Oryctolagus cuniculus: one gene and its partners. The main gene of each other region encodes a partner of the protein of the gene in region 4 in a complex. Links are inferred from orthologs where the notes say so. Each region holds a gene or a part of one and is shown on either strand. Other genes may lie near its edges. The genes, in order: DNTTIP1, MTA3, MTA2, HDAC2, SAP130, CIR1 and MORF4L1.

Evidence for each region.
Region 1: HDAC2 (region 4) and DNTTIP1 share a complex: the UniProt entries of both Homo sapiens proteins name them as parts of the histone deacetylase complex. The link is inferred for Oryctolagus cuniculus from reciprocal best matches to the Homo sapiens genes HDAC2 and DNTTIP1.
Region 2: HDAC2 (region 4) and MTA3 share a complex: the UniProt entries of both Homo sapiens proteins name them as parts of the nucleosome remodeling and deacetylase (NuRD) repressor complex. The link is inferred for Oryctolagus cuniculus from reciprocal best matches to the Homo sapiens genes HDAC2 and MTA3.
Region 3: HDAC2 (region 4) and MTA2 share a complex: the UniProt entries of both Homo sapiens proteins name them as parts of the nucleosome remodeling and deacetylase (NuRD) repressor complex. The link is inferred for Oryctolagus cuniculus from reciprocal best matches to the Homo sapiens genes HDAC2 and MTA2.
Region 5: HDAC2 (region 4) and SAP130 share a complex: the UniProt entries of both Homo sapiens proteins name them as parts of the mSin3A corepressor complex. The link is inferred for Oryctolagus cuniculus from reciprocal best matches to the Homo sapiens genes HDAC2 and SAP130.
Region 6: HDAC2 (region 4) and CIR1 share a complex: the UniProt entries of both Homo sapiens proteins name them as parts of the histone deacetylase complex. The link is inferred for Oryctolagus cuniculus from reciprocal best matches to the Homo sapiens genes HDAC2 and CIRSR.
Region 7: the proteins of HDAC2 (region 4) and MORF4L1 are in contact, whole or in part, in a cryo-EM structure (PDB 8C60), measured with the Homo sapiens proteins. The link is inferred for Oryctolagus cuniculus from reciprocal best matches to the Homo sapiens genes HDAC2 and MORF4L1. Residues at the interface, in NP_001518.3 of Homo sapiens: Gln93, Arg94, Asn96, Ser146, Glu147; in NP_996670.1 of Homo sapiens: Pro355, Glu356, Arg359, Lys360.

The regions. Positions count from the first base shown.
Region 1 is NC_091442.1:13,583,604-13,587,521, forward strand, and holds part of DNTTIP1 (deoxynucleotidyltransferase terminal-interacting protein 1), read right to left. Parts: intron 3,750-3,918; coding exon 3,691-3,749; intron 3,593-3,690; coding exon 3,532-3,592; intron 455-3,531; coding exon 383-454; intron 1-382. UniProt on the Homo sapiens protein: Increases DNTT terminal deoxynucleotidyltransferase activity (in vitro). Also acts as a transcriptional regulator, binding to the consensus sequence 5'-GNTGCATG-3' following an AT-tract.
Region 2 is NC_091433.1:160,049,906-160,054,328, forward strand, and holds the start of MTA3 (metastasis-associated protein MTA3), read right to left. Parts: upstream 3,138-4,423; 5' UTR 1,239-3,137; coding exon 1,211-1,238; intron 708-1,210; exon of another isoform or gene 547-707; intron 517-546; exon of another isoform or gene 498-516; intron 1-497. UniProt on the Homo sapiens protein: Acts as a component of the histone deacetylase NuRD complex which participates in the remodeling of chromatin.
Region 3 is NC_091432.1:8,952,886-8,957,336, forward strand, and holds the start of MTA2 (metastasis-associated protein MTA2), read left to right. Parts: upstream 1-1,514; 5' UTR 1,515-1,928; coding exon 1,929-1,956; intron 1,957-2,633; coding exon 2,634-2,701; intron 2,702-3,041; coding exon 3,042-3,135; intron 3,136-4,451. Other genes in the region: EML3 (echinoderm microtubule-associated protein-like 3), read left to right, coding at 194-292, 650-670, 751-1,181. UniProt on the Homo sapiens protein: May function as a transcriptional coregulator. Acts as a component of the histone deacetylase NuRD complex which participates in the remodeling of chromatin.
Region 4 is NC_091436.1:57,413,709-57,418,088, forward strand, and holds the start of HDAC2 (histone deacetylase 2), read left to right. Parts: upstream 1-1,190; 5' UTR 1,191-1,595; coding exon 1,596-1,647; intron 1,648-2,555; exon of another isoform or gene 2,556-2,698; intron 2,699-4,380. UniProt on the Homo sapiens protein: Histone deacetylase that catalyzes the deacetylation of lysine residues on the N-terminal part of the core histones (H2A, H2B, H3 and H4).
Region 5 is NC_091434.1:118,436,330-118,440,247, reverse strand, and holds part of SAP130 (histone deacetylase complex subunit SAP130), read left to right. Parts: intron 1-1,893; coding exon 1,894-2,015; intron 2,016-2,569; coding exon 2,570-2,872; intron 2,873-3,918. UniProt on the Homo sapiens protein: Acts as a transcriptional repressor. May function in the assembly and/or enzymatic activity of the mSin3A corepressor complex or in mediating interactions between the complex and other regulatory complexes.
Region 6 is NC_091434.1:66,821,490-66,824,673, reverse strand, and holds the end of CIR1 (corepressor interacting with RBPJ 1), read right to left. Parts: intron 1,909-3,184; coding exon 1,194-1,908; 3' UTR 865-1,193; downstream 1-864. UniProt on the Homo sapiens protein: May modulate splice site selection during alternative splicing of pre-mRNAs. Regulates transcription and acts as corepressor for RBPJ. Recruits RBPJ to the Sin3-histone deacetylase complex (HDAC). Required for RBPJ-mediated repression of transcription.
Region 7 is NC_091443.1:105,825,021-105,828,938, reverse strand, and holds part of MORF4L1 (mortality factor 4-like protein 1), read left to right. Parts: intron 1-1,392; coding exon 1,393-1,418; intron 1,419-1,815; coding exon 1,816-1,904; intron 1,905-3,083; coding exon 3,084-3,185; intron 3,186-3,918. UniProt on the Homo sapiens protein: Component of the NuA4 histone acetyltransferase (HAT) complex which is involved in transcriptional activation of select genes principally by acetylation of nucleosomal histones H4 and H2A.

The DNA of each region.
Region 1 (3,918 bases), on a different chromosome or scaffold from region 4:
GTGCTGGCTGGTGCGCTGCACTGAGAGAAGATCCTGTAGCTGTGTTTGGGGGAAGGGTGTTGTGACTGATGAGTAAGATCACTCAGTGGCACACGAGGGAACAGTGGTGTGGAGTCTTTCACCCGTCATTCCTATGCAAGCTAATGTGATCCAATGTGTGGTCCAAATACGAAGGCTGGGTGGAAGCGTGGAGGGAGAAAAAGGGAGCCCTAGTGGCAGGGAAAGGAACCTGGGGACCATGGAGAAACAGGCCTTAAAGTCTTCCTTCCCACACGTATCAGGCTTTGGGGGTCTCCAGATTCGGAGAGGAGCTGTCGCCGACAGAGGGAATCTTGGTCCCTGAAGGTGGCCTCTGGCAGTGGCGCGTGGGAACAGTGCTTACCATCTTCCCTCCTGTTGCCCGCATGTGATGTTGCTCAGCCAGCCAGTGCTTGTCCTGGGGGTCAGCTGCATACTGTGGAGAACAGCGTGAAAGGGGAGCCATTAGCCTTGCAGTTCTGATCAGTAAGACCCAGCCTGGTGGACGCAGAAGGCCCAGTAACCCCTTCAGAGCAAGCCAAGCCAAGCCCAGGAGGCCAAGGCATGGGATCCAATTCCCTGAGACTTAGTACACTTCTAATCCCCCTACTGCTTCTTTTCTCGAAACATCTCCCTGGCAACCAGTGGGACAGGTGACCATTACTTTAGAGCCTCCTCTTTTTAAGATTTATTTATTTACTTCAAAGTCAGATTTACAGAGAGAGAGGGAGACACAGACAGAAAGATCTTCCATCTGTTGGTTCACTCCCTAAATGGCCACAACTTCCAGGTTTGGGCCAGGCCAAAGCCAGGAGCTTTTTCTGGGTCTCCAACATGGGTGCAGGGCCCCAAGCACCTGGGCCACCTTCTGCTGCTTTCCCCGGTGCATTGGCATGGAGCTGGATCGCAAGTGGAGCAGCCGGGACTGAAACCAGCACCCATGGGACGCTTGTGTTGTGGGCAGAGGCTTACTCCACTATGCCACATCACCAGCCACTACAGCCTCCTTTTTAAAGTTTTATTTCATCTATTTGAAAGGCAGAGTTACAGAAAGAGAGAGAGAGGAAGACAGAGAGACTTTCCATTCACTGGTTCACTCCCCAAATGGTTGCAATGGCCAGGGCTGGGCCAGGCAGAAGCCAGGAGCTAGACTGGACGTGGAGCAGCCAGGATCCAAACTGGCACCCACAAGATGCTGGCACTGCAGGTGGGGGCAACCTACTCCACTGCAATGCTGGCCTCCCCTTTTAATAAATCATCTGAGGTGGCTTGCAACACCTATGATTACGATTATTACTGCTTCCCAAAGGAAAACCAGACCACAACATGTATGAGCTAAAAATAATAAGCAAAATATCCCACAGGACAAGGACACACACACACGCCCATATCTGTGTTTATGCTCTGCCATGGCTGCGGGTGGTCTGGAGTGGAGGGCAGTCAGGGTCAAGGGTGAAGGAACTCCAGTGTACTCGCTGAAGGTTTTTACACTAAGAATGGGGTCATATTTCTATAACTTAAAAAGTCTAAAAAAGGAAAAGATAAATTCAAATAATGTCTTCTGAAGGACAGAAAAATTGGGCACAAGATGTAATTGGCAGTTTCCAGAAGAAATACAAATAGATTCTAAATGGTTAAGAATGCTTATAATAGAGAACTGTAAAGAGAAAGGGAGTGGTGACTGGGGTGGGGGTGGGGAGGGTGTGTGCCTGACAAGCAAGGGCAAGGTCAGAAATAATTATCCATCAGGAATGAGAGTGTGGGTTGGGAGTTTAGTATGAATGGTGGGCCTTAGAACTGGAAAACTATGCTAACAACAATCAACCTCTACCGAGCCCGTGCCACGTGGCAGGCCTTAAGCCAGTGCTTCCCTGCATTCTCTCTTAATTGACACTAAAAGGTTGGTCTGCCACTCCCGGTTTACACACGACAGAACAATTCAGAACTGAACAGGAATTCAGACCATCCAAGATCCTATCTATAGATGATAACAAAAAAAAATCTCTTGGGGTATGTGGGTTTTTTTAAAACTATTTTTACTTATTTAGCTTAAAAAGATTTATTTATGTATTTGAAAGGTAGAGAGAGAGAGAGAACCTTCCATCCTCTGGTTCACTCCCCAAAAGGCTACAATGACCAAAGCTGGGCTGGTCTGAAGCCAGGAGCCAGGAGCTTCTTTCTGGGTCTCCCACATGGGTGCAGGGACCCAAGCACTTGGGCCATCTTCTACTGCTTTCCCAGGCATATTAGCAGGGAGCTGGATCAGAAGTGCAGCAGTCAGGACTCGAACTGGCACCTGTATGGGACACTGGCGATACAGGTGGTAGCTTTTACCCACCATGCCGGCCCCTAAAGATTTGTATTTATTTGAAAGGTAGAGTAACAAAGAGAGGAGGAAGACACAGATCATCCATCTATTGGTTTAATCCCCAAAAGGCTGCAATAGCGAATGTGAGGCTGGGCCAAAGCCAGGAGCCAGGAACTCCATCCAGGTCTCCCATGTGGGTGGCAGGAACCCAAGTACTCTGGCCATCAGTCACCGCCTCCCAGGCCTATTAGCAGGAAGGTCAACTGGAAGCATGGAGTACCTGGGAGTCAAACCAGACACTCTGTTATGGTGTTGCTGGTGGGCTAAGCAGCAGCTTAGCCCCTGCGCCACAACGCCTGCCCCTGAGTACCTACTCAGGGTCTTAAAGAGTAGTTGGGCAGACAAGGGTTGGGGAGGAAAACAGAACAGCAGGAGTGAAGACACCGAGAGGAGAGAGCGGCAGCAAGCTTGCCAGCCTCTCTAGATGCTGGGACTCCTAGGATCCAAGACTGGAGAAGAGCAAGCAAGTCTGCCAATTTGCACAGAGTGTGGCAGGTACAGTAATTCTGGGACCCTAACGGGGCTGGGAGCTTCTGGCAAGGGGTACCAAACTTTAGGGACAGGAACAAAAAATGTCTGGAACACACATGCGTTTCTATTTTTCTGTTCTTTTAAATACTTTTGTGGCTGATAAAATACACATTCATTTAAGACAATGAGTGAATTTGTGATTTCTCCTGTTATTTCCTCAAACAGCTGCTCCAGAGAGGAGTCCCTCCTTGGAAGAAGGGTAGAGCCCTGCCTTGCGCCACAGACAACTGAGTAAGGTAGGGGTTAAGAGCTCAGGCTTCAGTGTAGACAGACCTGGATTTGAATCCTGACTTGCTGAGTAACTCTGGGCAAATCACTTAGTCTTTCTTGACCTCTGCTTTTTTCAAATTTGTAAAATAAAGATAAGGGATAGTTCCAGGAGATAATGTGTTGTACTTAAAACCATGTTTGCCATACAATAAACATGTAGGCCAAGTAGCCATTGCTACCAGGGCACAGAGCTGTTGAGTAAATTACAAAAGGTACAGGGGAATGGCAGAAGGGACTCCCGACTCCCAGACCAGCGAGTGTCCCGAGCTTCTCCATGGCACGCAGAATTCCCACTGCCACCTACTCCAGGGCAGCGGCCCACCTGCTTCCCGGCACTCACTCACCTTAAAGAGATGTGGGTGCTTGATGTAGATTCTTCCTCTGGTGCCCCCCATCCCTAGAGCCCTGAAAAGGGAAAGACAAGTGGTAAAGATTCCAGCAGGCGCAACTCTAGTAGTAGACCCCCGAGCTGCCACTCCATCAGTGCCAAAGCTTAGACTCACTTGTTGGCTCGAGACCCCAACACAAAAGTGGTAGATTCATTCAGCCGAGCCGGGTCCCACTGCAAAAAACAGAGGCCGGTGAGGGGGGGTTTCATCTGGTGATGGGACAAAGCACTGCCTCCTGTCTTTTCTCCTGGATACACCATTCCCAACAAGCAGCTTACTCAAGAAAAAGAGTACTTAACAATATCCCAGGCCTCATGCTAGATGCTGGGGAAAAGAATAAGA
Region 2 (4,423 bases), on a different chromosome or scaffold from region 4:
GCCCAACCTACATTTCAATCACCAACTCAAAAAAAAATTTTTTTAAGTGAGCAGAGCAGGTAAGAGGAAGCACACTGACAAACTTTTCCAAAGCTCCACCTGGGAAGACAGTGATGAGGGGTGGGGGTCTCTTTCTGAGAGGCAGAGCCCTCTGGGGGTGACACAGCAATCTAGCCTAGCCCTTCCCCGTATTTAATTCAGGTCCATTTAGGTTTTTGGTATAAAGAAAACTGCTGCAGGCTTTCCACAAAAAAGGAGAAAAATTTTCAAGTGTGGCTTTTCCTCTCATCTAATAGGCTCACTGGAAACTTCCCACTGTGTGTCCGTCTGAGAGGCTGGACTGCGTTGTTATTGTCTATCTTAGCGGCTCTCTCTTCTGCAAAGTGGCCTCATTTAGCCAAGCCATTCCCACCACCATCCATCAGGAGCTCGGCTAACGAGCAGAGAAGAGCTCGTCTCACACACAAACACGCCACTTATCTGAATTATTATTTTACCAGGAAAGAGGGAGGAGGGCGTCGTGAGTAGGGAGAAAGTTTGTTTGACCTTATTTCTCTCTTCCGCAGAAGGCTGGGAAGGAGGCAGACAGGAGAGCAAACGTCCGGGCAGAGCTCAACTCCCCACCTCTGGCTGCGGTTCCTGGCCCCTGCTAGACCCCAATCTTGGGGGGCCGGACAAGAAACGCAAGGGGAGGCTTTGAAGGCGAGGTGCAGGAACCGGCCCCGCCAACAGGCCTGTCCAGCGGGGACCCTGGCTGGGCCCCCTCGCCCCCACCCCCACCCCACTCTCCGACTGAAGGGCAGGGGAAGGAGAGGAGGAGGAAGATGTCCCCCCATCCTCCCCGGCCCCCAATACCCAGAAGCCACGCGAGGAAAAGGCCACCCAGTCAGGGGGCTCGACGGGCCCTGCCCCCATGTGGGTTCCATGGAGGGGGGCGCCTGGTAATTCATGCCCCCAGTAGAGGCCTGTTCCTAAAAACCTGGACAGGGTATGGGGGTGCTGCTGGTCCCCGGCCCCTTGCGGGCCACCGTGGGGGGAGGAGGAGGGGTGGGGGTGGGGAGCCCGGCCCCTCTGAGGGCCCCGGTGCCCCCCTCCCTGCGCCCTCAGCCCGGGCGCCCAGGACTCTCGGCGGTTAGCTTGCGCTCGCCGCGACCCCCCAACTCCCGCAGCCCGCCCCCAAGACGGGCCGGGTCGGGCCGAGCCTTCCTACCTCCGACCCGGTACATGTTGGCCGCCATGTCCGCCCGCCCGCCCGCGGAGCCCAAGCCGAGCCCCGCCCGCCGCCGCCGCCGCCGCCTCAGCCTCGACCGCCGCCGCCGCCGCCGCCTCCTCGCCGCCTCGCCACGGGGGGGAGGGGAAGGGAGAGGACGGGGGAGGGGGAAGTGAAGGGGAGGGGACGCCGAGGGCTGGGGGCTGGCGTCCGCCCCCAGCGCAGGGCGAGCGAAACCGAGTGGGCCGCGCTGGGGGAGGCCCCGGGAGGCCCCAGCGCTGCGGGTTGCGGGCACCGGGGGACAGGGAGGGAGGCTGAGGGGCCTTGCGAGTGGAGGACCCCAGGGCCCCAGTCCTGGCCGACGCAGAAGCCTGCACTGGCAACTGCGGGCTGGGGGCCCTTGGAGATTGGGGTGGGAACAGAGGCTGAGCCTCCCTGGAGCGCTTCCTGCCCCACCCTGAGTAACCCGTCACCTGCCCACCGCTAGACAGGTTCTCCTTCCCTGCTCTGTCCCCGGGGAGCCCCAGCATGTGCGACCCTAAGCAAGGCAGCACCAGTGCAAGCTTCGCTGCAAAGTCTTGGATACAAATAAGTGCAGGCAGCAGGGCACCTTCCTCTGGGAAGGTTGTTACAGACCCCAGGCGTTCCCAGTCAGAGACCCAGCTGGGCCAGGACTGGAAAAACTGGCTGCCGTCCAAGTGCGCCCTAACTGCGATGGCGGGGACGTCATCATTCACCCCAGAACTAGGCTGAACAGAACCCACTCCCGGACACCCTGAGACCCTGTCTGTAACTAGGCCCCATTGCAAAAAAAAAAAAAAAGACTTAGCGGCGCCCTTCGTCCAAGGGCCCTACAGTTCCCCACACCACCTCCCAGGAGGAGAGACTGTCAGACTGTCAGGTTGTTGATGATGGACAGTTAACTAGTTCTGTGCCTGAACCTTTTAAATGGTCATTTTCTCATGCTAATTCTCTGGACAACTTGTTTTCAAATCCTTGGCACCCTCGGAACAAAAAGATAAAGTTGAGTCTTAGCTGGCCATCCCCCAAGTGAACACAAATACTTTTTTTTAGGCAAGCCAATCTACTACTCCCAGACTTTGTTGCAGAATAAACACAACAATGATCCCTGATGGTTGCGGGTTGTTGGGAGTGTCTGGTGATGTACAGCTGTGTGGCTGTTGACTGTGACTTTGAGGCCTATGCTGGAAGAGGAGGTGTTCCCAGAAAAGTCTGTGTTTGCCTTATCTTGTGCCGTGGCCCCTAATCAAAAGATGTTGAAGTGAAAAAATAATTATCTGGACAGCTGAAGCAAAGTGAGAATAATACAACAATGAACAACTTTGCCTGCCTTACATTGGTTGACTCCGTGACCTGTTTCCTCTTTTATGAAATGGGGACACTAACTCCACCTCACAGGTGGTAAGGATCCGTTGTGATGCTATCTGAAAATGCTTTGTAAACCGGAGCAGAAAGCACCAAGCAAATAGCAGGTGTCTTCCGCTTTCTTTTTAACCCCAGAAAGCCTCAGATTCCCAGGGGTTTTATGCCATGTGTCAACTGTGAGCCCTGTCAGCTCTTGTGACCCAGCAAAGAAAGCAAAAGTATTCTGCTATGCACATGGCGTGGCTGTTGTTTATCATAATCCTTTTACTGGAGATACCACCAAAAATATATTGTGACATATCCGACATCACTCTCTCCGTTTCTGAGCTGACACAAATAAGTGGAATAATTCACCTGGAGTCATACAGTGAACTGGCAGCGTGATCGAGATTGTAATTCAGCCGCTTCTGCCGACCTAGGAAGCTCTGGACCATAAAGCCTTTCTCCCAGGGAAAAAGTCACCTGGAAACCATAAATTGCAAAGACACAGACCACAAGCTTTAGGGTGTCTTCACGTTATGTTTTTAATAAATGAGTGATTTTTCCGCCTTCATGCCCATGTCTGTGTTTTTGCTGGTTCCTTGTCTGCCAGTCTCACTTCCCTAGCTCGGTGCTCCTTGCCAGGTGTTTGTGATGACTGTAACAACAACAACAAACCGGTGAAAGGTGCCAAGAAAACTCCCTACATCCACACCCACCTCCTCCCCTTAGGAACAATTTATCCAGAAGCCCCCCATGAAAGGCCTCAGAGATCTGTGGGGTGAGGTTGGGGGGCAGGGGGACTGGGGAAATGGCGGCTGGACCTGGAACTCTTTCCTTCCTCCAGATTCTGTTGTTCTTAGTGTCTCCCACTCCTCCAGCTCCTACACAGTGTCCTCTACATTCTAGGTTCTCAATATCTGAAAGAAAAAATGCCAGGGGGCCGGCGCTGGGGCGCAGCGGGTTAACGCCCTAGCCTGAAGTGCCAGCATCCCATATGGGCGCCAGTTCAAAACCCAGCTGCTCTACTTCCAATCCAGCTCTCTGCTATGGTCTGGGAAAGCAGTAGAATTTTGGCCCCTGCACCAGTGTGGGAGACCCAGAAGAAGCTCCGGGTCTTTAAAAAGAAGGAAGGGGAGGAGGAGAAGAGGGGAAGAAGAGGGAGAGGGGAAAGGGGAGGGGGGAGGTAGGGAGGGGAAGGAGAGGGGGGAGGGGGGAGGGGGAGGGGGGGAGGGGAGGGGGAGGGGAGGGGGACTAGTGCTGTGGTATAGCAGGTAAAGCGGCCAACTTCAGTGCCAACATCCCATAGGGGTGCGAGTTCAAGTCCTGGCTGCTCCACTTCCGATCCAGCTCTCTGCTATGGCCTGCTAAGTCCTTGGGTCCCTGTACCCACATGGGAGATGGGGAAGAAGTCCCTGGCTCAGCTCCGGCCATTGCAGCCATCTGGGGAGTGAAAGTGAACCAGCAGATGGAAGACCTCTCTCCCTCTGCCTCTGCCTCTCAAGTAAATAAATAAATCTTAAAAAAAGAAGAAGAGGAGGAGGAGGAAGAGGAAGTGGAAGAGGAGGAGGAAGAGGAAGAAGAAGTTGTTTATAGAAGGGATTATCTGAAACCCCAGGACATTCCCTGTGTTGGACTCCAGAATCTCACCAGTTAGCTGAAAAGAAATGGATGCTGTGTAAAAGCTATAGATAAGGGCCTGGCATTGTGGCACAGCGGGTTAAGCTGCCAACACCACCAGCATCCAATATCGGCAGAGTCCTAGTTGCTTCGCTTCAGATCCAGTTCCCTGCTAATGTACCTAGGAAGGCAGCAGAGAATGGCCCAAGTACTTGGACCCTTGCACCC
Region 3 (4,451 bases), on a different chromosome or scaffold from region 4:
GCTCTCCGGGAACTTTTCGGAGAACTCGGGGAGCACCCGGGGTGGGTTTCTGCCCTGGGCGGGGCGGAAGTGAGCACAGGGACCAGTTCGCATGCCAGAGCCTCACCTCAAACCAGTCTGACCATCCTGGCCTTCTCGGGCATGTTTCCAGCTGCGGGCAGGGTGGGCTGAGCTGGGCCGGCTGTCTCCCCAGGGGACGTGGCTGGAGGCTGCAAGCTGCTGAGGAATCGCTATGAGAGCCGAGACAGGGAATGGGCCACCTACACTTGCGTGCTGGGCTTCCACGTGTACGGTGAGCAGGGGTGGGGGGCCCGAGCGGGACGAGGTGGAGCCCGCTGTGGGCTCGGCACGCCGGGCGGGTGTTCGGAGAACCTGCGGAGGACCCAGCCCACGGGCCCCCTACCCCTTCGCCCTCGGGACCAGGAAGGACTGCCTGGAAGGCGGCCGGTTGTTGGTGGCAGCGAGTGCCAGAGATGGGGCTACGCTGGGCCGCGGGTGGTGGCGGGCAGGGGGCCGGGCTGAGGCCGTCGCTGTGCTAGGCGTGTGGCCGGACGGCTCCGACGGGACCGACATCAACTCGCTGTGCCGCTCCCACGACGAGCGCGTGGTGGCTGTGGCCGATGACTTCTGCAAAGTGCACCTCTTCCAGTACCCGTGCGCGCGCGCCAAGGTGAGGCTGCCCGGGGCGCCGGGGGCGCGGGCCAGGGCGGGCCCGGACGGCGCTGCCGCTCACCCTCCCCTCCCCGCCAGGCGCCGAGCCGCGTGTACGGGGGCCACGGCAGCCACGTGACCAGCGTCCGGTTCACGCACGACGACTCGTACCTCGTCTCACTAGGCGGCAAGGACGCCAGCATCTTCCAGTGGCGCGTGCTGGGCGCTGGGGGCGCGGGGCCGGCGGCCGCCACGCCCTCCCGGACCCCGTCCCTGTCCCCCGCCTCCTCTCTGGACGTCTGATCGCTGCCGGACCGGACCGACTGGCCGGCCCCTTTTCCTCGACTTCGAGACATTCCCAAGTGCGCATCTCCCCGGGGGGCGATCGCCCCTGCACACACTGTAGGGACCCGCTGGCCGAGCCGGGCCGCCCCAGCCTGGGTCCTGACTCCTGCTGCCTGCTGAGGGGCAATAAACCAAAACCAGAGTCGCCTCCCTGTGCTTTTGTGGGGCGCAGCTGGGTGCCCTAGGGACCCCGAGGGGTGGGATGGAGGCGAAGAGGAGTGTGGAAAGCGCCCGTAGGCCGTTCATGCAAATGGTAGGCAAAGCTGTTTGCAGACCGCCCGGCGAAGCGCGAGGGCGCGCGCGCCTTGCGGGACGTCAGGCGGAGCCGCAGACTCCTGCGAGGGAAGGGTTAAGCCCGCCTCCTCCCCCGCCCTCGGGGAGGGGGCGGTCCCGAGCTGCAACGGAAATAACCGAGGGACGGGCCGCGGTTGGCCGAAGCCACTCGAGCTCATTCCGGAAGTAGCCGATCTGTGGGGTCTTGCTCTCCGACCTGAGCCGAGCGCCGGGCCTTGTTCTCCGATCAGCCGAAGGTGTTCCGGAAGAAGGCGAATCCCGAGGCGGGCAGGGCTAGCCTCCCCTGGGCCCGCGGAGCTCAACGTCTGGTGGGACCGGTCGAGGTCGGGGGTGGGGGTGGGGGGGCGGCTAGCCGGAGCCTGGCTCCGGTCCGGCAGGAGCCGAGTTCGTTCCGGAAGAAGCCGAGCGGACCGGCGCCGGCCTCGGCGTCCCGGGCTTGAGGCGGCAGCAGCGGCGGCGACAGCGCGGGCCGGGATGAACCGCGACGGCTGAGGCAGCGGAGGCGCCGGCTGCGCGGACCCCAGGAAGACTCTCCCAGAGCGCCGGCCCGGCTCTCGGGGCTTCGCCTCGAGCCGAGCCCTGCCCCCGCGAGCTTCCCGGACCCCTTTGTGCGGCCGGAGGCGGCGGCGGGAACGGCCATGGCGGCCAACATGTACCGGGTGGGGGGTGAGTACCGGGCGCAGGGGCGCGGGGCCCGGGGCAGGGGGGGCCGGGCACTCGGCGGCGCAGGGAGCCGCGTCTGGGGCGGCGTGGACCGGAGCTCGGACCGGAACCGGAACCGGGAGCCCGGGGAGCGAGGGTGCGGGGACCGCGACGCGGCCGGGCTCCGGGGGTCGGGAGAGGCTGCGGGCAGCCCCGACGGCACTCGGAGTGCGGCACCGCGGGCCCCTGGGGCGGGGAGTGGGCTTGAGAAACTGGTTCCGAAGGAGCTGACAGGATAGGGACGGGGCCCCGGGGGCGGGGGGCCCGCGGCGACGGCTGTGCTACCTGCGGGGAGCAGCCTGAGGTTTCTTCTCCCTGGGCGTTATTGTGCGCCTCGCTCCGCCAAGGCGGGGGCCGGGTGCTGGAGCGAACAATTGTTCACTTCGCCGGGGCTGGAGTGCAACTCCATCGCTGAGTTGGGGGAAACTGCTGCCTGTCTTTTCCTGAAGGCTCACTTTTGAGCGAAGGGTGTGATTTAGAATCCGATGCGGCAAGGTGGAGGCATCTTAGTCTGCCCCTGTCCACACTCGAGCCTCCCCTGCCTGGACCCTTACCCACTTTTGGTCGACGCGGGCGGTTTTCTCTCCTCCTACCCTGACTGGCTGTCCCATCTTCCCGTTCTTCCCCACCCCCTCCTACAGATTACGTCTATTTTGAGAACTCCTCCAGCAATCCTTACCTGGTTAGACGGATTGAGGAGCTCAACAAGGTGAGTGGAATAGACCCCCCTCCCCATCCCCCAAGTGGGCTCCTTTGAGGTCTCTAAGTTCGGGTGGAAGAGAGGCCACTAACCTGAGTGCTCATTCATATTCATTCATTCATTGGGTGCATACAGGACAGGCTATTGAGAGCTTAGTGGGAGTCTTCCTCATCTGTCTCTCGGGTGCAAAGGAAAGGGGTTTGGAAGTCTGTCCTTGAATTAAATCCTTATAATTTCTTGAGCTCTTTTACTTAGGTCCCTTAGAAATTTATTCCATGTTGTTAGGCTCTGTGCATTTCCACTTTCAGATAACCAATTTTCACTGCTACGTTTTTTTCCCCTCTCTTAGACTGCAAATGGAAATGTGGAGGCAAAGGTTGTCTGTCTTTTCCGGCGAAGGGACATTTCTAGTAGCCTCAACAGCCTGGCCGATAGTAATGCCAGTGAGTGTCTTCATCCCCTCCTCCTGCCATCTGGGCATGTCCCTGCAGGTGTTTCCCCTGGTAGCATGCCCAAAGCAGGGGTGTGAGTTTTGGGGGTGGGAAGTGCCTGGTTTGTGGAGGGAGGCCTGTTTTTACACGTTGGGGTTGGAAGCAGGGTGGAGAGACCATGATAAGGAAAGCCAGACTATGGTGTATGTGTGTGTGTGTGTGTGAGAGAGAGACAGAAATGATAGTGTTTACATAGGAGGTAAGGAAGAGAAGCAGGACACTTTGGGGGGGTAGAGTTTTGAGTACACTGAGACAATGAGGGGTGTCTGAGGGTCAAGGTGAGAAGGAAGAGATTGTACTGAGAAGCCTGTGCAGCAGGGAAGCAGGCTTACTTTATAATCACGAGGTGGTGCGAACGCGGTGAAGGGAGAGAATGGAAGTTAGGATATGGCAGGAAAGTGTTCTTGCACTTTTTCTTGTTTCTCACCTCTTCCATGTCCCCTCTACTCCATTTTACTTCTTTCCTTTTTCCTTTTGCCTTATCTTCCTTCCTTTTAAGCTCTCATTTTCTTTTGGAAAATGTATTGCCTTCATTTTTTCCTTGGCTTCTTTTTCCTTTCCTGCTTTGGTTTTCTTTCCTCTTCCTCTTGTCTAAGTTATTTTCCTTTTTAAAGGCTGCACTGGGCTTGAAGGGGTTAATGAGGAGAGCCGGGCGGGCTTACGAAGTTCCCTGGGCCTTTGGGGTTTCCAGCCTCCTCTGGCAGGGGCTGACCTTGGCCTTGTCCAATCAGAAAGGGTGTGGGGGGTGTGGTCCCCTTTGCCTTAGCACAGGGTTTCCGGAGCACACAGGCAAGGGGTGGAGCATATTGCACCCCTCCCCATCCCCCCCTCCCCGAGGTCGGGGAACAATGCACCAATGAGCCTGAGCCTGAGGCTCTCCTGCACCCTCCCACTTTGACTGGCGCCCGGCCAGGTTAACCCTTTTCACCAAGGTTTCAAGGCAGGCTGCAGCTCCTTGAGGGAGGTGTTGGCACTGGCTTGAGAGGTGTTGTCCTTGAAAGCCCCACAAACTATTATTAGCCAAGTAGAAAGTGAGGGATAGTTAGGGTTGCATGTGATGTTTGAGAGCAGAGTCTCCTGAAATCTGAAAAGAGGAACTGGTAAACACAACCTGTGTGACATTTTTTTTTTTTTTTCATCTTATTGGGTTCCTGGACCTTAGGCTGGTTTAGCAAAAAAGAGACAGTGTGATGGGCCTGGTGTGGGCAGTGTCTGCTTTCTGAGTGACGTCTGAGCATTGGCAGCTGGGTTTGGGATGCTTTCCTGCA
Region 4 (4,380 bases):
ATCAATACCACATAATCAACCGCACCCAAGCCAAGGTTTCTCCCACCAGGGTTCTTGCACCAACTGTGGTCTTATTAAAACTACAAACAGAAGGGTTGGGAAGGGTGTGGCAGGAGCCATCCTTGACACACCTTTTCTAAATCTCATGGGGATGTGGTCCAGGAAAATTGCTGCTCCGATCATAAATACCGTTGTCAATTTGGAAAAGTGAAAAAAAATAAAAATAATATTTTTGAATGTGACTTTAAACGGCTCCTGCTTCAATACAGGTCTCTCCACTCCCCTCTTTTCTTGACTGGGCATATGGGAGACAGCCTGCATGTGGGCAGCGTGGGAAGGTATTGTACATGACTTAGGAAACAAGTGCTACACTGCGGGCTGTCTTCACTGTTCCCAGCAACGTGGCTGGCTTAGGGTAGGTGCCTGATAAATGCTGATTTATTGAACGCAGGGTCACAGGCATTTGTAATTTCCAAATGTTTGAAAATCCTTTCTCCTAGCGTCCTATCCAGTGTCTAGTTTCGTGGAAAAGCCAGGGTATACGGAGTTTGGAAAAAGACGGAGACCAAACTCCCAACTATCAGCAGCTGCGAGGGCCAATTTAATCTGCTCCCAACTACAAGAAACAGAAATAGTACTTACACCCCGGTATCGGAGGGAAGCTTTACAAAAGTGCAGCATTTATTCTAAGTGGGTATCAATGAAACACTACTCTAAATGCAAACACTTTTAGAACCCTGCCCCACACAAATGAATTTTATAAATGTCCATTCAAACCCAAGCGGTACACTCTTCCTTGAAAGCTTACAATAGGTCAGTGTCCAGAGCACTTAAAAGCCAAAAAAAAACCGAAATATTAGTGAACAGATGAGAAAACCATGCGACCACGTCCTGGGGCCGCGGGCGAAAGCCCCGCAGCTCGAAGGCCCGGAAGGAGAACGTGAGTGGTCTTTCCCCGCCCGGCGCACGGCACGTGGTCGGCTTGGGCGGGAGCTTCGCGACAGTGGGGGAGGGGAACAGCGTGGGACGACACCGAGGGGGTCTAGACAGCCAAGGCTACGGTTGAGCAGGCGCCGACTGCGCAGGCTCGGGATAGGCGCAACCACTGCGCGAAGATCCGAGGGTGGGAACACACACAAGGGTCGTCGTTCTCTTGGTATTGCTGAGGAGGAGCCTGCCTTTTTCATAATTTTAAGGCTTTGAATGGCGCTGTTCCCCGCAAGCTGTTCATCACTATAAGGATTCTCACCCAAGCCTGAACCGGCCTCTTTCTCTGGTCATGCCCCTCCCTCCCCCGTGGAGGACTCAGTGGACGCGTCCCACCTCCCCTCGGCCTCCGGAGGTGGTTTGGCGGCCCCCTCCCCCTCCCCAGTGTCGCGAGTTGGCGCCGCTGCCACCCCCGCTCCGCGCTCTCGGCCCCCTCGGCCGGGCTGTACCGAGCCCTCCGGGGACCCTCCCCCTCCGACCTGCCCTTCCCCGCGGGGCGGCATCCCCCACCATCCCCCTAGCCTTTCTCTCCGCCGAGCCGCGGCGGCAGCTGCAGCCACAGCAGGAGGAGGAGCCGGAGCCCGGAGGCGGCGGTGGCCGGGGAACCCATGGCGTACAGTCAAGGAGGCGGCAAGAAGAAAGTCTGCTACTACTATGATGGTGAGAGGCCGGGTGGGCGGGTAGGGCTGGGTCGCCGGGCCGGGGGCCGCGCCGGGCTCTCTGGCCGCCGTCGCCAGTGGGTGCCGGCTCAGAGGGGTGGGAAGGAGGAGGGACCGACGCTTGGCCGCATCTTAACCCGTTGCGGACCCGACGCGGCCAGCGGGAGACCCTGCACCTCGACCCCCTCCTGCGGACCCTGCGGGCGGGAATGGGGGAACGCCCCGCTTGCTTTCTGCCTCTGTCTTCGGTCGTGCGGCCCGCAGCCCCCAAGGTGGCCGGCTGTGGGGACCACACTGGCCTAGCCCCGCCGGTGGTAGTGGCGAGGGGGTCGGCCCTCCCTGGCACTTCACCCGCCTCTCGTGGCATCGCGGTTTTGGGGGACCCCTTCGCCGGCATCCCGCACCCGATCCTTGCCCCCCTGAGTCAAAATTCCTACCCCGGCTCTGACTACACAAAGCCCAGCGGCCGCAAAGCTCCGCCCCTGCAGCCCCCTCCGGTGCCCCTGCCCCCGCTTGCGCCCCTCTGCTCGCGTCTGGCCCGGGCGCCTTCTCTCTCCGCTGGCAGCCGCACCCCGGACCCCTCGGCCCGGGGCGATGCCGGAGTGGGGGTTACTGGGAGTGGGAACCCGAGTCCGGCGTGCGGCGCCCTCACCCCCGTGTTCTGCGTGGGCTGCATCCCTCTCCTTTGTTCACCCGGCTCTTTGAGCGCCACTTTCTCCGGATTCAAATTGATGGGCTCCACTTCCTCCGTAACAATTAGGGATTTCGAGTTTGAGGCTGGCAGTTGGCGCGGCGAACGAGAGAGGAAAATGAAGAGCTGTGTTCCTGCTTGTGTTGTAGGTCAGACTCGATGGGTCCTGGCTTGCCCGTGTGGGAGGTGGTTACCACCCACTTCTTTGTTGTTGCTCTTTGTTCGATCAGGAAGTAGACCCTGCTTTGGAGGTGTAGGGGACCATGGGCATCTGGCTTGTGAAGGCTGTTCTCAGGTGGTGGGGATCCTGATGTAGAAAAACTGGAGGGAGTAGTGCAGGAGGACTAAGGAGTTTAATCAGGTAAGCTTGAGCTCACGGTATGGTGAATTATAAAAATCAGGTTATTTAATTTTAGGGATTCTGTAATACAGAGTAGCGTCAGTAACATTACAACTCTGGATTCTGCGTTCTGTGCCAGCCTAAGTTACACTAAATGGAACACTAGCTTAAGAGATTTTACAAAGATCTGAACTCTAATAGGTTACCCTTTGGGAGAAAGAGTACTGAAATTTAACAAAGCCAGGCTGAGTGATCTCACAGTCCTAATTGTGGGAAGCAATACGAATACAGATGTGAGAAGCCGTTTCTTATGGATTGTATACTGTAAATCACAACTTTAGAAAGGTAGCTAAGGTCAGTATAAACCTGGCTGTAACAGCAGAACCGTGCCCCTTCATTTAGCAAGGATCCCATTTTTTAAAATGCCAGTTTTATATGAAATAGCCATCTGAGTCATTTGTGGGAAATTATGTATTATGGGAAAAAATTTAAATTGACCCATAATACCTGGGACAAAATAGGAACAGCCTTGTTTTAAAATGTATCCTTTGAAGGACTGCAAATTGATTTGAAATTATACTGGGGCTGTAGAGATGGGAGTACATTTTAACATGAATTTTATTGCATATTTGGGTTGTTGGCAAAACCTTTCCCCCTACCTTCTCTAGTTAAATTGGAAATGTAACAACCTTATTTTTATTTTAAAATATTTATTTGGGAGTTAGAGGGAGCGATAGATAGAGATCTTCTATCCACTGGTTCACTCCCCAGTTGTCCACGATGGGCCAGGTGGAAGCCAGGAGCTTCTTCTGTGTCTCCCACATGGAAAGCAGGGGCCCAAAAGCTTGGGCCATCCTCTTTGCTTTGCCTACGCCATTAGCAGGAAGCTGGATCAGAAGTGGAGCAGCTGGGACACAAACCTGTGCCCATATGGGATGCCAGTGTTGCAGGCTGTAGCTTTACAGCCCGGGGGTTGTTTCCAGAGTTTAGAGATTTGTTTTTTGGCAGGACTTGGAACAAAGGGAAAAAATTTAACAAGTTGCAGAAAGTGGTGCTCAGTGTCTGTCAGTTGTCACTTGCTGTTGGCAGTGATGGGGTCCATGGAATAAAGTGCTCGCAACTTTTTGTCAGCAGGCTTAAACTGTAGGAGCAGGAGGTATGCTTGGGTAGCAGTTTTCTGAGAACTGTTTGTTCCTCAGCCCATTTATGATAAGCCTTTGTTGAGAGTGGGGGCAGACATTGGTCCCAGGGGCAGGATGCAATTGGGTAGAGTGGAAGATGTTTGACAGTCTTGATTTGTGTTAGTCAGTACTTGATTGATGGCCAACAGTACTGACAGTCAGGTAGGTCTTCTGTCTGTGGCTCTGATTGGACTCATTTTTAGAATGGACCCTTTAGTTGCTTACTTTTCAAATCGTCTTGGAGTTCCGTGGAAGGTGCTAATAAAATACCCTGAAGAGATTAAGTCATGTATAATTGTGCTGATATGTGGCAGCATGCTAAGCTCTGCGCAGTTAATTACAAAAACATTTTTGTTGTCAAAAAAAACTATTTTGTCACTTTATAAAAACAATTTTTTTTGTTAAATTATGAACATAAGGATGCAAGTAAAGGAACTTTGGCATCAAAGAACTTACACAACTTTAAGGTATACAGCATGGATTGGACTGGGAGTGAGTGGAATCAGTAGCAGGATCTGAATA
Region 5 (3,918 bases), on a different chromosome or scaffold from region 4:
TTAAGTCCACAAACTCTGTCATTATTTAGACAGGGCCATATGCAAAGTGAAAGTTCTCTCCTCCCTTCAGAGAAAGGTACCTCCTTCTTTGATGGTCCCTTCTTTCCACTGGGCTCTCACTCACAGAGATCTTTCATGTAGGCCATTTTTTGCCACAGTGTCTTGGCTTTCCTTGCCTGAAATGCTGTCATGGGCACTTTAGCCATATCCAAATGCCTTAAGGGCTGATTCTGAGGCCAGAGTGTTGTTTAGGGCATTTGTCATTCTATCAAAGGTGGTATTTTTAAGACCAACTTTTAACTTTTTTCAGTTCTTCCTGAGTGATAATGGGTTTGAACCCCCAAAACATCATAGTAAGTGATTTTTTAAACCATTTTCTTCAGCCAGTGAGCCAGGTAGAGCCAGTGTGAAGCGAAGGAAGGAGCATGTACTTGTGCAACCTGAGCAGGCAGCACTATTCCCCACCTCAGTGTTCTGGAAAGTTCCCCAGATGATTTTTAAATATCATTTTTATTATTGTGTGTAGGAATATTTACAGGTTTTAATATATTAGTATTATGCTGATCCCCCTTTGCCAAATACTCCTGTTACTCTGAAGTTTTATAGATTCTCTTGGATTTCTAATATAGATGTTTATATCATTAAGGACAGTTGGGGGCATGGCAAGAAGGTGTTTTCATCTTTTATACCTGTTATTTTGCTGGATAGAGTTTCCAATTAAATGTTATTGAATTAAAGATAGTGACTGGAAATTCGTCTGAAATTCCTTTGTAGATTTGAGTAGATAACATTTTCGAAGTTTTTATTCCTATTTTGTAAGCATTTACATCATGAATAAATATTGAAATGCCATCAATTATTTTGTGCATATATTTTGCAACATTTCAAGTGATTGTTCCCCTGATTTTTTAAATATCATCTAAAACATGAATGGAAATTATAATGTTGAATCATTCTTGTCTTGACAAACCTTATTTGGTCATGATGTATTTAATTTTATATGATCTTATTTTTTTGTTAAAATATTTATTTTATTTATTTGAAAGACAGTTACATAGAAAGGTAGAGCCAGAGAGAGAGAGAGAGAGAAAGATATGTCTCCTATCCGCTAGTTCACTCCTCAAATGGCCGCAATAGCCAGCGCTGAGCTGATCTGAAGCCAGGAGCCAGGAGCTTCTTCCAGGTCTCCCATGTGGGTACAGGGGCCCAAGGACATGGGCCATCTTCTGCTTTCCCAGGCCATAGCAGAGAGCTGGATCAGAAGTGGAGCAGCTGGGACTTTACCTGGTGTCCATATGGGATGCTGACACTGCAGGCCGGGGCTTTAACCTACTGCGCCACAGCGCTGACCACTATATAATCCTTAATGTAATTCTGTGTAGTTATTTTTGTGTCAGTGTACAGTGAAAATTGAGATTTGTTTATTATCTTCTCATACTGTGTCCTGTTTTAGTGCTAAGGCCACATCTCAAAAAATAAGTTAGATTTTGTTTCTTCTTTTTTTGGTCTCTGAATCAATTTGTAGGAGGTTGGGATTATCTGTTTTATATATATTTGACAAAATTTGGCATTAAAAACAATTTGTAGAATTGAACACGGAAGATTTTCATTACTGAATTTGTGTGAGTCAGTTTTGTTAAATGTAAATGTTCTTTTCAAAAAGCATCCATAAAATATCTGTTTTTAGATTTATTGACATGTGGTTGTTTGCTGTATTCACTTTTTTTTTATTTTTTTTTATTTTTTATTTTTACAGTCTGTCCTTTGATCTAAGAGTTTTGAAGACACGGTTTGAGAGAATCTCAGGGCAGTTACGAATGGTGTGAGGAGGGACATTTAAAGGCAAAGAACCAGTAACCACTTTGTTTCACACTGTTTCTATTCCATCCCTAGACCTTCTGTTCCTGTCCAGTTCCAGTACTTTTTGCCAACTTACCCTCCTTCTGCATATCCACTGGCAGCACACACCTATACCCCAATTACCAGTTCGGTGTCCACTATCCGACAGTATCCAGGTATAAACAAGTCCCACTTTTAAAATGACTTTGCATTTTAATTTTTTGCTAGCAATGAGATACAAATTGATTAGGCCTTATTTCTAGTATGGGAATTAATTATTCTAGGTTCAGATTTCCAGATTCAGATAAGGCTAACATATCTGAAGGTTGTATAAGGGCTTAAATCACCATGTTGATGATCTTTGAAAAGATCATATGAAAAGGTAGTGTTGGTAATAGTTGCATAGTTTTATCCCACCCTGCGGATTATCATGTAAATAATATTTGTTAGTTCTTAAACTTGTATACAGGTAGAATGGATAGAGCTATACTCTTAGGAATCTTCTGTTGTTTTGTGAGATACTGTTATGTGTTTTCAATTTTAGTGCAATTATGTTTAGCTATCACCATTCTGACTTAGAAGTAGTGTTTTGCTAATCCAGGAAAAGCAGTCTGGAAGTCTCAGAGTTTGCATATTCTTTTCCTGTAGGATCCTTGGCTAACTTTGGGCATTTGAAAGTCATTCAGATTGTGCCACTAGTACCTTTAATCACACTTTGCATCATTTTTAGTTTCAGCTCAGGCTCCAAACTCTGCCATCACAGCTCAGACTGGTGTTGGAGTAGCATCTACAGTCCACCTAAACCCCATGCAGTTGATGACAGTGGATGCGTCACATGCTCGACATATCCAGGGGATCCAGCCAGCACCCATCAGCACGCAGGGCATCCAGCCAGCACCCATTGGGACGCCAGGGATCCAGCCTGCACCAATTGGCACCCAGGGCATTCACTCAGCCACCCCACTTAGCACACAGGGTCTTCAGCCTGCTCCGATGGGTGCTCAGCAGCCACAACCTGAAGGAAAGACCTCAGGTAATTTTAACTTTTTTGTATGAAAAGTGGCATAGGGTAGGGAAATAAACCTGGGTTTTAATCTGGCTCTGCCGCTTGCTGACTTTGGGGTCTTGAGAAGTTTCTGTAGGCCTTAATTTCCTCTTTGTAACATGAGTCACTTAGAACTTAGCGTCAGGGACATTGTAAACATTCAGACTAACATATATAAACAGATATAAATGTTTGCTCAATAATGAGAAGCATTCCATAAAAATCTCTTAGTTTATGGGGCAGATTCACCTTACAAGTAGTGTTCTCATTCATCTTAGATCTTCAGAGTTATATGTAAAGTGTGAAATCTTATCCTCATGTTAGCTAATGATGTCAGTGCATTTAAAAAGAGATACAAGGGTGGATATTGTGGCAGAGCAGGTTAAGGCATCACTTGGCAATGCCTGTATCCCATATCAGAGTGCTGGTTCAAATCCCAGCTCCTCTGCTTCCAGTCTAGCTTCCTGCTAATGTGCCTGGGAAGACAACAAATGATGACCCAAGTACTTGAGCCCCTGCCAACTTGGAGACCCAGATGGAATTCCAGGCTTCTGGGTTTGGCCTGACTCAGCTCCGGCAGTTGCAGCCATTTGAAGGATGAACCACTTGATGGAAGGTCTCTCTGTCATTCTGCCTTTCAAATAAGTAAATAAATCTGAAAAAAACAATACTAGTGGAATAGGCATTTTGGAAAATGGAATAAATCACTGTGAATGGAATATTGATTAGCTGTTTTTCTGATGTAGTTAAAAGACTTTATCAGATGGAATATTAATCTTAGTTATCATTGTGGCAGTGGGCATTTGGCCTAGCAGTCAAGATACTGGTTAAGACAACCCCATTCCTCATCAGAGTGCCTGGGTTCCGTTCCTGGCTTCACTCCCGACTCCAGTTTCCTGGTAATGCAGACCCTGGGAGGCTGCAGTGGTAGCTCAGGTGCTTGGGTTCCTGCCATACCATGTGGGAGACCTGGATTGGTTTCCTTGCTCCTGGCTTTGGCTCCCAGGCCAAGGCCATTGCAGGCATGGGAGAGC
Region 6 (3,184 bases), on a different chromosome or scaffold from region 4:
GTTACTTGCGGACTTTTTTTCTAGTTTCCCTTTACCCTACATATTCTTTCAAACACATGGGAAATTCTGTGGCTACATTCAAACATGCTTTATATACTGATACTCATGAAGTATATCTGGTTTGCGGTGTGTTGTGACATTACATGAATGCTTAACCCTCTGGAGAGTTGGGTACCTGTGGTACAAAGGCCACCAGTGATAGGCAGGATGCTTGTCCCTCAGAGATGTACAGAGCCCTAACCCTGGAACCTGTGAATGTTGCACTGCACGGACAGGGGGAATTCAGGTTGCAAGTAAGTTGATCTTAAAAATAGGGAGATCACCCTGGATTCTTCAGATAGGCCTGGTGTAATCAGGGGGTCCTTATAACTGGAAGAGGGCTGCATAATGTCGAAGTGCCAGGGTGATTAGTTGTGAGAAGGACTTGACTTTGCTTTGTTAGCTCTGGAAACGGTGGAAGGCGGCCAGGCGCCAAGGCATGCAGACGGCATCCAGGAGCTGGAATTAATAAACAAGCAGATGTTCCTCTGGAGCCTCCAGGAGGAACACAGGCCAGCTGACACTGCAGTAGCCCAAGGATACGTCAGACTTCTGATCTCCGAAACCGTTCAGATGATGCATTTGTCCTGTTGAGCCTCTGAGGTAATGTGTATGGCAGCACACAAACACATCATCCAAATGTATACCCTGTAGCTTACTCTGTAGAACAAAACACCTGAGGGGAGTTTCAAAGTCTTAAATATTGATCAAGCCACTGTTTAGTTCACACTAGTGAATTCCAACAATGATTGTACTTGGCTTCAAGTAAAAGTCAGTTGTAAAATCACAAATTTGAATTTAAAAAAGAAAATTAAATTATACCCATTCAATGTACTGTCATTCTTTTAATGATATTTCAGAACAAAGAAATGTCACAGAGTTATATGGGGTTTTTATCTGGGACAGGGCTCAAAAAACAGTTACCAATAGAAATTGTTTCTACAGCCCTCAGATTACTTATAAATATTTGCAAAATTCATTCTTACAGTGCACATACAGTTTTATACTTGAAATGACAAGTTACAGAAATGGAAAATTAAAAGTTTTTTTTTTTTCATTAGAAACACATAGCACACAAGTTAGCCCTTGCAAAAGGTACTCAGTGAGAAAATGGAGACGGTTTTGTTTCCAGGTGATTGCCACACACATTCTCTTTATTCTCTACTCCTGCTTCGCCGCTGTGTCACTTTTGTCCGTTTATCTCCTGAGTGCTCTCTCTCTGTGTTTTCTCTGTGTTTATGTGTGCCGTGGCTTCTGGCATCATTTCTTCCACTCCGCTCTTCCCTGGGACTCCACTGTGACTGCCTTCCTGTCTCCTTCTGCTTGTAACCATCAGGACTTCGGCTTCGGCTCCTCCTCCTCTCATCCCTGCTGTGGCCTCTGCTGCTCCCCTCGTGTCTTTCAGATCTTCTCTTTTCTGGGCCATGGTTATGGCTTCTGGCCTTTCTGTCATAATCAGAATGGCCCCGTTTGCTACTCTCCCCAGAATGCTCCTGTTTTAAAAACCCAAGCTTTTCCTTGGCTTTTTCCTTGCTGTGATTGCTAGAAAGTTCTTCATAAAGTTTCCTCTTCTTAGACTTGTCCTTCTCTTCAGAATCATTGCTATTCCCGGAACACCTGTTTTTCTTTCTTTTCTTCTTTTCTCTTTTCTTCCCTTTGCTGTCACTCTCACTCTCACTGCTGCTTTCTGAAGTCTCAGTGGAGGAAGAGGAGGAGGAGGAGGAGGAGGAGGAGGAAGAAGAAGACGAGGAGGAGGAGGAAGAAGAGGATTTGTTTTTATGTTTTTTGTGTTTAGTTCTCTTGTGAAGCTTTTTCTTGTTTCTATCTTTTGTCTTTTTCTTTTTTTTCTTCTCAAGCCGATCCAATTTCCTGTAATAGAGAAGAAAGAGGTGCAGACTGTGAAAAACTGTCCTTTCAGCAACGACGACAGAATTGTCCATAGACAATTTTTAGTTTCTCAGGAGCTACTAAAAATGGTACCCATATCTAAACATGCTATTTACTTTATTAAATGACAAATCATTTTCGTTTTATTCCAGACTTGTATACATGAAGTTTAAACTAAAAAATTAAATGCATTAAGCCAAGTCTCTGAGTATACTTCATCAGAATACTGATGATAGTCATAGTAATGACTATTTTAAAAAGCCATTGTGGGGTAGGTATTTGGTGAGTGCCTCAGTATCAGTCCTGGCTCTGCTTCTGATTGTAGCTTTCTGCTTAATGTGTACAGTGGGAGGCAGCGGGTAAGGGTCTAAGAACTTGGCTCCTTGCCATACATGTGGGAAGCCTGAATAAAGTTCTAGGCTTTTGGCATCAGCCTGGCCTAGCCCTTGTATTTGTGGGCATTTACGGAGTGAACCAATGGATGGAAGATCTATCTCTGTCATCTCTCTCTGCCTTTCAACGAAAAAATTAAAATAAAGAAATAAAATTTAAAAATCACATTGTTAGTAAGCTAGAATTTGAAACGATAGCACTGTAAATAAATGGCCATGTTAGTCTAAAGAAAACCTATGAAAGATCTGTATAACACTAGTTGCACTTATTGCAATCTGAAAATATACAGCTATAATCAGATGAAAAATTAACTTTATATATGACTAAAGTGTGGAAACTAATCAACATTGATTACCAAAATTTAAGAGTACATGCTCCAGAAATTCTGAATAAGAACGTATTTTAAAATTTTGATACTTTGTTATATAAATTACTCACATACTAATTTTCAACAATTATTTAATTCTAAAAATAATTAGGACAACCATATTAAGGCATTCTGAATGCCTAGAGAGCACATCGCAGTCTCTGGCACTGTGAAATCACAGCGTCTTCACTGGCTCTCTCCAAGCACGCTCAGAACTGCACACTGAAGACATCATGAGCTCCCTCTATGGGCTGCAGCGGACATGTCTTAGATTCTTCACTCCAGAGGCCATCTGTTTAACAACATCTGTACTGACCTCGATTTAAGCAATCTTCCAGTATTTCTCATGAAACTGAAAAAAGTTAGAAACTACATGGCCCAAACATACGGGGTCATGTATAATATGAGGAGCAAATACTCATTTTCTGAAAACTGTGTGCAAAAAATATACTAATGTACAAATAAGTCTATTTCCAAATACCATGTTCTAAAAAGTGC
Region 7 (3,918 bases), on a different chromosome or scaffold from region 4:
CCACCTATCTTATATTGCAGAGGTAAGATAAGCTGTCAGTATTTATAGAGTAAAAGATTGAGTGCTTTTAACAAATGTTTGTTATAAAAGTGAATCTAGAGCTTTGCAGGTATAATCCTGTACGTAGGCTAGCCATATTTCTTATGTTTAAAGTCAATTATAAGTTAATTTGGGTTGAAAAATGAGTTCCAAGACTAAATGAATATAATTCATAACATACATTGTTTATTATTTTTTTAAAAGATTCATTTATTTGAAAGAGAGGCAGAGAGAGAGGAAGGGAGGTCTTCCATCTGCTGGTTTACTCCCCAATTGGCTGCAATGGCCAGAGCCGCGCCGATCTGAAGCCAGGAGCCAGGAGCTTCTTCTGGGTCTCCCACGTGGGTGCAGAAACCCAAGGACTTGGGCCATCTTGCAGTGCTTTTCCAGGCCACAGCAGAGAGCTGGATCGGAAGTGTAGCAGCGGGATCTCAGCCGGCACCCATGTGGGATGCTGGCACTTCAGACCAGGGTGTTAACCTGCTGCACCACAGCGCTGGCCCCGTTTACAGAGATGGGGAACCATTTTTTTCTGCCAAGGGCCATTTGGATGTTTAAAACATCATTTCTGGGCCATATAGCATTATCAGCTTAAAAAGTAGCCTGCTATAGACTTACTGAATTCTGTGTTTTACCTGCAATTGCCTCAGCAAGGTCAGACCAAATGATTCTGTGGGCCTCAGTCTGGCTTGGATGTTCCCCACCCCTGGTGTTTTAAAACTATAGTAAAGTAAAATTCAGGTGTTCTGGAATGAGCCTACAAAAGTAATCCATAATCAAAGCTTTGTCAGCTGTTTTCTTGGGTTCTCGAAACAGCTATAGCTAATTGGGTAATATGATAGACTACAAAAAGGCATGAGTTTTTACTAAAGATAATAACATAGGAAGGAGACATCAGCTTTGTTCTAGATATGGTAGAAGAGGGTATAATATTTAAATGGAAGGATTATAGAGAAGAGAAAGTTAAGTTTGAACCAATGAGAGTAGAGTAACATTGCTGTTTAAGACAGGCAAGTCTATAAACAAAATTAATGTTTTGGGAAGGGGAACAAAAACAGTAGGGAAAGTAAAACTGAAGCTTCTTGGTAGAATTAGTAATGTAAACTTTAATGTAATACTCTTATAAACTGCATACTTTTAAAATATACAACTTTGGTAGAAATTATCATCCATGTATTGGGTTATTCTGTTAATAAAAATCCTTGTTTCTGAACAGCCCCCCCCCCCCCTTTTTTTTTAATTTTTACTGCCTCATCTTACCCAAGGTAGTCTACCTTTGAATTTAACTGTGATAAAAGAGATCTGAACAAAGGCTGTTTTTACTGAATTTTTTTTCTCCTTTTCTTCTTTTAGGAAAACCAAAAAGAACAAACAGAAAAGTAAGAATGTTAACTCTCTTAATATTGATTTATACCATTATAACATCTTTTAATTTGCTGTGTATGTTTCTTGATGGTCGCAAATGAGTGTCACAGCAGTGTTGAGATAGATACACAGTGGGAGAGACCTAAGTCTGATGATCCTTATGCTGATGAGAAACTGTTAAAGATTTAAATATATGACTCCCCAGAAAAGATAACTTTTTTAAATAGATAGAACATAGTGATATTGTGTTGCTTATATAATGTTTGGTGGAGCTGATCCTAAAAGTTAAGCTTTCACTGAAAATAATTTTTTAACTTAGATTCAAGTAACAGGATCTGTCATAGGCTGTTTTTCTTAAAAAGTTATTAAACAAAATCCCCCTACCTCTGCCCAACACCCGTGTGTTAATAGCACCTGGAAATGGAGATGGCGGCAGTACTAGTGAGACCCCTCAGCCTCCTCGGAAGAAAAGGGCCCGTGTAGATCCTACTGTTGAAAATGTGAGTTTTTCTTGTGTAACTATTAGAATTTTCAGTCAGACACAACCTTCCTCCTTTCTGCCCTTGGGTAGAGGTTATATATATATATAAATCCTAATTTCACCTATAGCTCTCGACTTCCACACTTCATCACTTCATCATCAGGGGTTTACTGTACAAGTTCTGTGTTTTTTTTTTTTTTTTTAATTTTTTTAAAATTGTTTTTTTGACAGGCAGAGTGGACAGGGAGAGAGACAGAAAGGTCTTTCTTTTTCCGTTGGTTCACTCCCCCAGTGGCCGCTGCGGCCGGCACACTGCGCTGATCTGAAGCCAGGAGCCAGGTGCTTCTCCTGGTCTTCCGTGGGGTGCAGGGCCCAAGCATTTGGGCCATCCTCCACTGCACTCCCGGGCCACAGCAGAGAGCTGGACAGGAAGAGGAGCGACCCGGGGTGCCGGCGCCGCAGGCGGAGGATTAGCCTATTGAGCTGTGGCACCGGCCACAAGTTCGTGTTTACACACAAGATCAAGTATTTCTTCAGTGTTGGAGGACAGGATAGTTTTTTTAGGTCATATTAAGTGACCTATTCGAGACATATCCAAGATGCTTTAATGAACCCAAAAGAGATGCCATGAAACCCTCTAAGTTCTGTGCTTTAAAGATTTTGTTTATTTGAAAGGCAGAGATACAGAGGGAGGGAGAGACAGAGAGGTCTTCCATCCTCTGGTTCACTCCCCAAATGGCTGCAACAGCCGGAGCTGGGCCAATCCAAAGCCAGGAGTTTCTTCTGGGTCTCCCATGCAGGTGTAGGGTGCTTGAGCCATCTTCTGCTTTTCTAGGCCACAGCAGAGAGCTGGATCAGAAGTGGAGCGGCCTGGACTCAAACTGGCGCCCATATGGGATGCTGGCTCTGTAGGAGGCAGCTTTACCTGCTATGCCACAGTGCCAGCCCTTCCCCCAAGATTTTTGTCTTTACTTTTATACTATTTTTTTTTATTTTTTATTTACTTTTTTTTTTTTTTTTTTTTTTTACTTTTGTACTGTTGTACTATTTTTAAATGGACAGTTCTGCCTGTATATTTGGCATCTGCAAGCATTTGATCTATTCCTAGTGTCCTTAAAGGTCAAAATTTCCCTGTGGTCTAGAGTTACTCTTCAGCAAGAAAAGATGGGTTTCTGATAGTGTTGTTGTTTCTGTTTAGGAAGAAACATTCATGAACAGAGTGGAAGTTAAAGTAAAGATTCCTGAAGAGCTCAAACCATGGCTTGTTGATGACTGGGACTTAATTACAAGACAAAAACAGGTAACTTGAAAACGTCACAGATGGTGATCTGTGTGCTCATGCTCTTTCTTGCCACTCACTTCTGTTACTTCAAAAAGGAAAAAAAATAAACTTGAAGTTCTACAATATGATGAATAATATTTAGTTCAGAGACTGAAGAGTTATCAAAATATATTGGCTTTATGAGTTAATGGTTTAGAAAAAGGTGAAGATAATTCATTTCGGGGGTTGCTAGGTCAGAAATGATTCTGAGAGTTGATAAGTGCAGAACAGGTTGTATACACTGAGAATGGAATATCCTCACCGATGTATGGGTGGTAGAATGCAGACAGAAAGCACTCAGTACCACCTACAAAGTGGATTTCATGATCTCCAAAAGAACCTGAGTCTAATCAATCTTCTATGTGTAATTATTGGTTTTCAGGAATGGGAATGTTTAGTAGAGGAGGAGCATGTTGAACATAAAGAATTCGTTCATGAACATGAGGAATTCTGTAGGACAAATGAAGCAATTTAAAAGAAACATAGAGATTTGGGGTTAGGAATGGAGAGTAGAGGTTGCTTGGGGATGGTGACTTGAGAGACTCGCTCATCCACACCATGTGGACTTAAAGTTTGAGTCCTGATTTGAACTCTTTAAGGATGGGTCTTGGTTACAGCTAAGCTGCCAAGATTAAGTATCTCTCCAACTCCTTTTCTACCTGTGAGATTGGACAAGTGTCAACGTTTTGTGTGTTTTAGTTTCTGCGTTTAG